2 linked regions of the Saccharomyces cerevisiae S288C genome follow. The protein of the gene in region 2 interacts with the protein of the main gene of each other region in a pairwise test. Each region holds a gene or a part of one and is shown on either strand. Other genes may lie near its edges.

Region 1 (4,358 bases), on a different chromosome or scaffold from region 2:
CCTTTCTCTTCTTGCAAAGTTCACAAGCTTTTTGAACCCTGAGTCTACCTTTTCCATTTTCTTTACTTGCGGCTGTACTAGTATCAAGTGCATCATCAGTATTCCCGATAGCTGTCATTTCTCTGAACCGTTCCTTTCTATTAGTATGGGCCCATGTCCTATCAATTTGCCGACTTCGTGCTAAAAAAAACTGAAGGAGAACAATCACTACGATGATGAGCTTGATTGCTACTGAACGATGCTCAAATACAAGTATATAATATATTTCATGATTGATACTCATGTTCAGCCGGGTATCTTTTTTCTTTGTTTTGAGAGGCTGACGGTGACTCTTTTAATTTGAACAAGGAAATGTATCATGCACGTATGACAGAGAGAAATAGTAGTACAAAAATCAAATATTACGTGAATACGTGAGATGAATAGCCGATATTAAGTAGATAATGAGAGGTTTCAGACGAAGCACATAGTAAACTCAGAAATATGCACTTGCGCGATAAAGTGAAATTACCTTCATATTCTTGCAAGAGGAACTTATATTTTTGAGAAGAACTAGCATAAGCTTGCTGTGTTTAGTGTTCCTTTACGCAATTAGCTTTTCGAACGTCCAATAGCATATTTGGTTTGTTTCAGCTTTAATTTTTTTTATTTTGAATGCACTATATAGCAAAAAAATTAACTAAAACCTAATCCATTTTGTTATAAATAGCTTTTAAGGTTGATATTAACGATTCTGTATTATGAGAACCATTTATTAGATCAAGTGAATCAAAATTTTTTGAAGCGATGAGAGCATTTTTTAAATTTTGCATAAATTTGTTTTGCATTTTTGCTTTGTTGTGTTCATATCCTTTACTTCGTAACAGTATAACTTCGATTAGCATTTTGCTTGCTTTTACATAGTCACCCTTATTCATGTAGGCGATCGCTAAATTATAACGAACCCTTGTAAAATTCGGTCTTAGTTGTTTGCATTTATTGTACGCATTTATCGCAGAGTGATACGACTTAGTATTGGCCAAAATAGCACCATATCTATTCCATATTGTTCCATTATTGGGCTTTTCCAGTAGTAAAAACTCTAAGCATTTCTGAGATTGCTTTATTTTCTGATCCGAATAATATAAGATTGATAATACTGAATATATATCATACTGATCTTTTTTTTCTATACCCATATTCAACAGGGATTCTAGAATATGCGCCAAATGGGCCTTTTTCGGAATTTTATTAATGCTATCTTTGTTTTCCCCCGCAGAAGGTTGGAAAACCTTCGAAAATTTTGAAAGAATCCATTTGTGAAAAAGTTTCAATGACTCTGATTCATTTTGTTGATTTATATGGTGAATTGCTAAGTTTTCCAATGCAATTGTATTATTTGGATCCAAATTTAAGCAATTTCGCAAAGCAAGCTCTCCATTGCTTTCGCTTTCATTTTCAAAATTAACTATACCTAACTTCAACCATGCATTTATATGGCTTGGATCTTGTGAAATGGCTGCTTCAAAGGCCATTACTACTTCGTTCAAATTGGAACCGTTGTCCATTAGTACACATCCTATTTTATATGGGTCCCGTTCCGTTATGTAGATGTTTGATTTTAGGAATTGATATGTTTGTGGTACGGATGACAGCATATGCATGAAATCAATTGTTTCTTCGTATTCTGCCACATATTCATAACCAACAGTTTTTTCTTCTACATTGTTTTCTATCTTTAGCTCATTTAGTAACTGATTTTCGATTGATTTGAACTGAAATTCCCAGCCATTAGAAACAGATGAGTGTTCATTGTAAGATATTCGACAAGGATATATACGATTTTGCTGATATGCCGTACTATAATATTGTGCAAAGTACCTATTGTGCAAATTAGCGGAGCGTTTCTCATGTTTGTTTCTACTGGGCTTGGTCACATCAGCATTTTTATTCTTGGGGAAACAAGAGAATTCCTTTGACCACTGGTTCTCAAGTCTTGAAAATTCTTTTTCGCTGACACCACTATGTTGAGATTTATCTGCCGGTAGTGCGGCCCGAAAATCTATCTTACCAATACTGCTGCCGGTTTGACAATTGGTAAAGATGTAATCTATTGTTCTAGCATCTCGCGCGGCGCTATCGTTAGTCTGAAAATCAGAGAATTTACCCAGATTATTCCATTTCAAGCCTAATCCATTGTTGATCTTATGAATTGGGTTGTCACCAGTTATGGAACAAGTAACTTCGTTCATCGTGCTTACAAAAGGTACCCTTTATTCTTAATGATTCTCCACTCAAAAAAAAAGAATAAAATAAAATAAAACGGATAAGAGTACGAAAAAAAGTGATGACCTTTTCTTTATTTATTGCCACTGTTTGGGTGAGAATATTGGGGTAAGAGCGCTTTGCCCCAAGTTTTCTGTACGATTTCAATGCGTATCAATCATCCTCTCCGGCGTTAGTAAGGTACTACCAAGGCCTCTACCGTTCCCAGGAAACTCTTCGGGTTTTGTCTGCGCCGCGCCGCTCTGATTGCTTTTCTTTTGGCGGCTATTTAAGTTCCCAGGTGCACATCAAAACCGGCAGGAAGCAAAGTAAATTAAGTTTGCACTTACAAACCCAAATAAGATCTCAATGTATTGCGTGCGCTCATATTCACATATGCGCAGGAACAATCTTGTCATATCTGAATCAGGCTGACGCATCCATGTCGTGTACATTTCTTGTAGGCTTGAAACTTGAACGGTACGAGAAACAAATTGGAAACGAATAAAAAAGTAAGAGAAGGAGGACATCCTCGTCCAAGTTGCGGTATGTATGCGGCAATGAACTACTCCGAAAAAATGCGGAAAAGAGGCATATTTGACCCAAAGCAGTAAAGAGTTTCGTTATATCAACCGTGGCGGGATAGCATTCGGTGGTCTGACAATTAATAGGATGATCGGGCTAGGGCTGGGCTTGTGGAAAAAAGGATAGTAAAAATTTTCTCTAGTAGCATACGATGTGATGCTTCCAATTTTCAGAACATGTTTGTACAATAACTCTATTATTGATTTTTTTTTTTACTAATATCGTTTGTAGGGTAGAATTATTCTTACTAAATATCCTTTTCAACTTAAACATATACGGACGCTTGAGATACACTCTTGTCTTAATCCGCTCGATCTTGGTAAGGGCGTTGTGACGCTTAATATAAAAGGCAAGCGCAGAATATAATTTTTCCGCAGCATAAGCACCCAATCAAGACAATTCTATAGGAATAGTGTGGCATACGCAGTGATTACCGGAAACCCTTCATAATGTTTTCCTTTTTCCCAACAAGATTGAACTTTGATATCGTTTTGTAACTAAAATCTTTTTTGACAAATGAAATTATATGAATTATAACTTATCAACTTTATGAGAAGCAAGTAGACTTGGTACTGTAAAAAATATAGTCCCACGACAGCGGTATCTATCTTTCTTACCCTCTTTTACTTTTCACAAAATCATGTTGATTTTTCAGTTAACCCAGTTTAAGATCATGAATGGAACGGGAAACAAATACGTAACAACTGGGAAAAACAAACCTGCCGATGTTTGAATGCACTTTATTTATGGGAAAGAGAAAGCTTTGTCTGACAACTCCGAAAGAAAATACAAAGAAGAATTGAGACCTTCAGTACTAATGTCCCCCTCGCTCTTTTTTTTTTCTCTTTCGCAAGAATATCTGCGTATGCCTTTTTAGAAACTATTTATTCAATATATTTATACACGATATTTTGTGTGTATAACAGATCACCATCTTTTCCCGATCACTTTCTCCAATCTATATCGCTTGGCCTGTAAAGCATTATCTGCCTGCTGTACATTGTTCTCGATGTCAAACATTCTAGTGTTTTGTGCTTCAAACTCTCTGCCAAAAGCGTGAGCCATAATTTTCAAGTCACCACTCACCGCTTTTATTTGTTCTAGGTTTCCGTACAAGTCGATTTCCATTTGGTTATCTTCTTCATCGGCTTCAAACTGATACTTCTGGGCATCTCTAAGAATACGCTGTCTTTCCACCCCTTGGCCATACCGTCCATATTCAGAACTTAGATTTATGGCTAAATTTTTGTCAGAATCTTGGGCTCTTTTCATAGTTTCTTGCTGTAAGTGACGATGCTTTAACTTCAAATTGTAGATCTGGTCTCGCTTTTCTCTCTCCCTTTTCTTCCTGAAGGGGTTGGGTGATTTTAATGCAAGCAGGCTTCTATTTTCATGGGCAAGTTCGTCAATCTTTCGGTCGGCTACGTTAGATTGAATTTTAAGCATGTCACAATTGCTCTCGATCTTGGTGAGTTGGTTGCTCTGACAACTTAGTTGTTGAAGAACTCTCTTTCCAGTACATCGAGCCT
Region 2 (4,392 bases):
TGAAGTCTTCTGAAAAATCCTCGATATTTTTTTTTAAATAAAACTTTTCTCTTGAAATGGAATCGCTAGGCAAGTAAAGCATGCTTTGGTTTAGTGGTGTTTCAGACGTAATTTTCACTTTCAGTTTCAGTTGATTTTCCACTCTAGATACTTGTGGCAAACCTGAGACCTCTACATCCAAAGGTAGCTGCGCTGCGTTCACTTTAAGGTAATCTAAAGGATTTATGTAAACAGATTGAATCGTCTCCTTTCTTCCAAATACAATCTCGTCATGAGCAGGGTTGCCTATATTTTTTTCATTAAAAACCTTATTTTCATGCTCGTCCTCTTCTTCCTCCTTCAAGGCTCTGTTACTTTCCATTTCCTCCTCCAGTGGAGTGGACACGTTTTGGTTGACATGAGTATTGTTACCGATACCTTCGAAAGACAACAGGTTGGGCGAATCACCCTCATCTGTCTTGATAAAATTTTGGAAATTAGCACCCTCATCAATATTAATATGCGCCATGCTATCATCCTGGTACATGGGAGACCCGTTCAGGAGGAAATCGTCCAAGAGCTGTGATTCCATTACGCTATTCGCGTGCAATTGAGATATATGAGGGTCGCTTCCAGGTGTTTCCGTTAAGAACTCACTGTTCTGCTGCATAACGAAATGTTCTGTTCGCCAAAATGACCTTCAATAAGTGCCTTTAAATGCACAATAAGGGGGGGAAGCAGGATCTAGTCTTAACGACCCCAAGAACGACTGTTGATCAAGCGCCGCTGTCCTTTTAAAAGGCTTTCGGCGGCTGTATTTTCTGGTTTAGAGCTCACCCATTTGAAAATGTTGAGTTTTTTGTCATGATCCACGATATAAAAAGAAATACGACATTTCTAGGGTAACATCAGAATGCCCTTGCTTTTATTGTTAGGGTTATTTTCAAAAGTAGAATTTTGGAAATAAGTCCTAGCCTTTTTGTAACACTAACCCTGAGACAAAGTGCCAGATAAGATAAGATGGATTGGCAAATAAATGGGGAAAGATAAGCGAGGTAAGACTGATAAGAAGCATATGCGGTCTATTCATGTGCATTCGCATATATAAGTCAGTAACTGTCATCCAATCGCTCTTGATGCTTATCTTGTAGGGCAAAAAATCTTTGAAGCAAAGATATGGTGACCGTGGTGGCGGAGACATTGACGAAAGAGTCCTTCGAGGAGTATGGGACGATAATTTCGCCAGATGAAGAGATTTCAAGGATGCAAAACCTTGAAAAAGGTGCAAACCAGGGAACAGCGATCAAATTGCTTCAAGTAAGCCAGGTAGAGAATAAATCTACCAGTAAAGTTCCCAATTGGAACCTATTCCGTTGCTTTCCACAGCCGCACCTGAATAGAGTATTCACTCAAGGCTCCAATCAGGCGATTTCTCATTCTATCAAAGTCCTCGAAAAGCATCCGTGTAGTACGCAGACGTTTGTGCCTATGGGGAGAACGTCAGCGGAAGTAGCATACTTGGTAGTAGTCGCTAAAGAAATTGGAAATAAGCCAGACTTGTCTACGTTGAGGGCTTTTACATGTTTGGGTAATCAGGCCGTTACCTATGGCTTAGGTACCTGGCATGCGCCCATGATAGTACTTGGCAAGGAAGAACATTTGGATTTTTCAGTCTTAATCTACGAAAGTCTGGACCCTGACAGGCCCGAGAAGGACTGTGTGGAAGAACACTACAGCGATGGCGACGTTTGTATTATCATCTAATTCTGCGACTGTGGGCGAAGTAAATATGTAAATGTTCATGTATTAGTAATTTCATAGGTTTACGATTATCGACATAAAATCTCCGCTGAAAGTTGCGGTGCGATAGAATACCGCGGATTTTGGAAAATTGCGTTTGCTTTTCTTATCACATAAATTGAATTTCATAAGTTTTGGCTTATCTTGGATAAGGTACATCGTGAAAGTATCACAAAGATTGGATAGTTTCGTCAATTGGTGAAGCAATAAGTATAAAATGGGGACATTTACGCATGTAGTCTTAATTCTTCACTTTCTGTGCAGTTGATATCACTTAGAGTATGTGTCATAGGCACGGTAAAGAGCACTGAACAATGGTGAAGATAAGCTTGGACAACACTGCTCTATACGCAGACATCGACACGACTCCTCAATTTGAACCTTCCAAAACTACTGTAGCTGATATTTTAACAAAAGATGCCTTAGAGTTCATTGTTTTGCTGCATAGAACTTTCAATTCAACACGGAAACAGCTTTTAGCCAACAGAAGCAATTTACAATCAAAGTTAGACTCTGGTGAATACCGATTTGATTTCTTGCCGGAAACCGAACAAATCAGGAACGATCCTACATGGCAAGGTGCTATCCCAGCCCCTGGTTTGATCAACAGATCCAGCGAGATTACTGGGCCACCATTGAGAAATATGTTAGTCAACGCTTTGAATGCTGAAGTAACGACATATATGACTGATTTCGAGGACTCTTCATCTCCAACTTGGGAGAACATGATTTACGGACAAGTTAATCTTTATGATGCCATTAGAAATCAAATCGATTTCAAGACACCAAGAAAGGAGTACAGGTTGAAGGATGACATTTCAAGACTGCCCACTTTAATTGTCAGACCTCGTGGCTGGCACATGGTGGAGAAGCACCTTTACATAGATGATGAACCGATTAGTGCTTCCATCTTCGATTTTGGTTTATATTTTTACCATAACGCTAAAGAGTTAGTTAAAATTGGTAAAGGACCTTATTTTTACTTACCAAAGATGGAGCACCATATGGAGGTAAAACTATGGAATGACATATTCTGTGTTGCACAAGATTTTATTGGAATGCCCCGCGGTACCATTAGGGCCACTGTTCTGATTGAAACTTTGCCAGCGGCCTTCCAAATGGAGGAGATTATCTATCAAATAAGAGAACATTCAAGCGGTTTGAACTGTGGTCGTTGGGACTACATATTTTCGACCATTAAAAAACTGAGAAACTTGCCTGAACACGTTTTGCCAAATAGGGATCTAGTGACTATGACTTCACCTTTTATGGATGCTTATGTGAAAAGATTGATCAATACATGTCACCGTAGAGGGGTCCATGCGATGGGTGGTATGGCTGCCCAAATCCCCATAAAAGATGATCCAAAGGCTAATGAAGCTGCAATGAACAAAGTTCGTAATGACAAAATTAGAGAAATGAAGAATGGGCATGATGGGTCATGGGTAGCACACCCAGCATTGGCACCGATTTGTAATGAAGTTTTCAGTAACATGGGTACAGCAAATCAAATATATTTTGTCCCGGATGTACATGTTACATCATCTGATTTATTGAATACGAAGATTCAAGATGCTCAAGTCACTACTGAGGGAATCAGAGTAAACTTGGATATTGGCCTACAATATATGGAGGCTTGGTTAAGGGGATCTGGTTGTGTCCCAATTAATCATTTGATGGAAGATGCCGCTACTGCGGAAGTATCACGTTGTCAATTGTACCAGTGGGTTAAACATGGTGTTGTCTTAAGTGATACCGGTGACAAAGTAACTCCAGAATTGACCGCTAAGATATTAAATGAAGAGACTGCAAAATTGGCTTCAGCAAGTCCGCTGGGTGAAAAGAACAAGTTTGCCTTGGCAGCCAAGTATTTTTTGCCTGAAGTCACTGGTAAAATCTTTAGCGACTTCTTGACCACTTTATTGTATGATGAAATTATTAAGCCAAGTGCCAAACCAGTTGACTTAAGTAAATTATAGAATGTATACGTACATAACCTGACGAATATTCGAAGAATTTTAGGCGCTGTTTTAACGCATAATCCAATCAAATTTGAGCTGATAAGGCCTGATAAGGTATGACAAATTGAACTCATATTTTTTCTCCATGCCAGATCATATTTAAGCCTTTGAAGCGAGAATATGTAAGGAAACTGAATTACTAATTCTTACCTCAGGAAAATCAAAAGAACAAAGAAAAACTAGCTAAGCAAATTATCGAACGATGGAAACAAGAATACTTGTTGTGAATCCTAATAGTTCGAAGTCAATGACGGTGTCCTTGCGGGAAACCATTGAAAAGACTTTTTCAATGGAATCATGTAAAATCAGTTATTTCACAGGGCCAGACACGTCGCCACCACAAATTGATGGGCAGGAAACAAGTATTAAAAGTATGGAGGCCTGTCTTCCCCTCTTAATTGATGACCAGGAGTCGGTATATTACTTTCAGAAATTCAACGGGATATTAATTGCCTGTTTTTCAGATCATCCTTTGGTAGCAAAGATAAAGGATAGAGCTGCTAAAGAAAAAGCAGATGTTTCTATTGTTGGGTTATTAGATAGTAGTATTAATTATTGCAATTTGGTTGGAAAGAAGTTCTCTATTATTACT

The links.
Region 1: the proteins of DAL7 (region 2) and PEX9 interact in a two-hybrid assay, tested with the Saccharomyces cerevisiae proteins (2 studies listed by BioGRID).

What each region holds. Positions count from the first base shown.
Region 1 is NC_001145.3:308,081-312,438, reverse strand, and holds PEX9 (Pex9p), read right to left. Parts: upstream 2,232-4,358; coding exon 687-2,231; downstream 1-686. Other genes in the region: STB4 (Stb4p), read right to left, coding at 1-283; SPO20 (Spo20p), read right to left, coding at 3,757-4,358.
Region 2 is NC_001141.2:412,381-416,772, reverse strand, and holds DAL7 (malate synthase DAL7), read left to right. Parts: upstream 1-2,093; coding exon 2,094-3,758; downstream 3,759-4,392. Other genes in the region: MGA2 (Mga2p), read right to left, coding at 1-649; DAL3 (ureidoglycolate hydrolase), read left to right, coding at 1,156-1,743; DCG1 (Dcg1p), read left to right, coding at 4,003-4,392. UniProt on the Saccharomyces cerevisiae protein: Allantoin metabolism-specific malate synthase involved in the recycling the glyoxylate generated during allantoin degradation by the ureidoglycollate (UG) hydrolase reaction.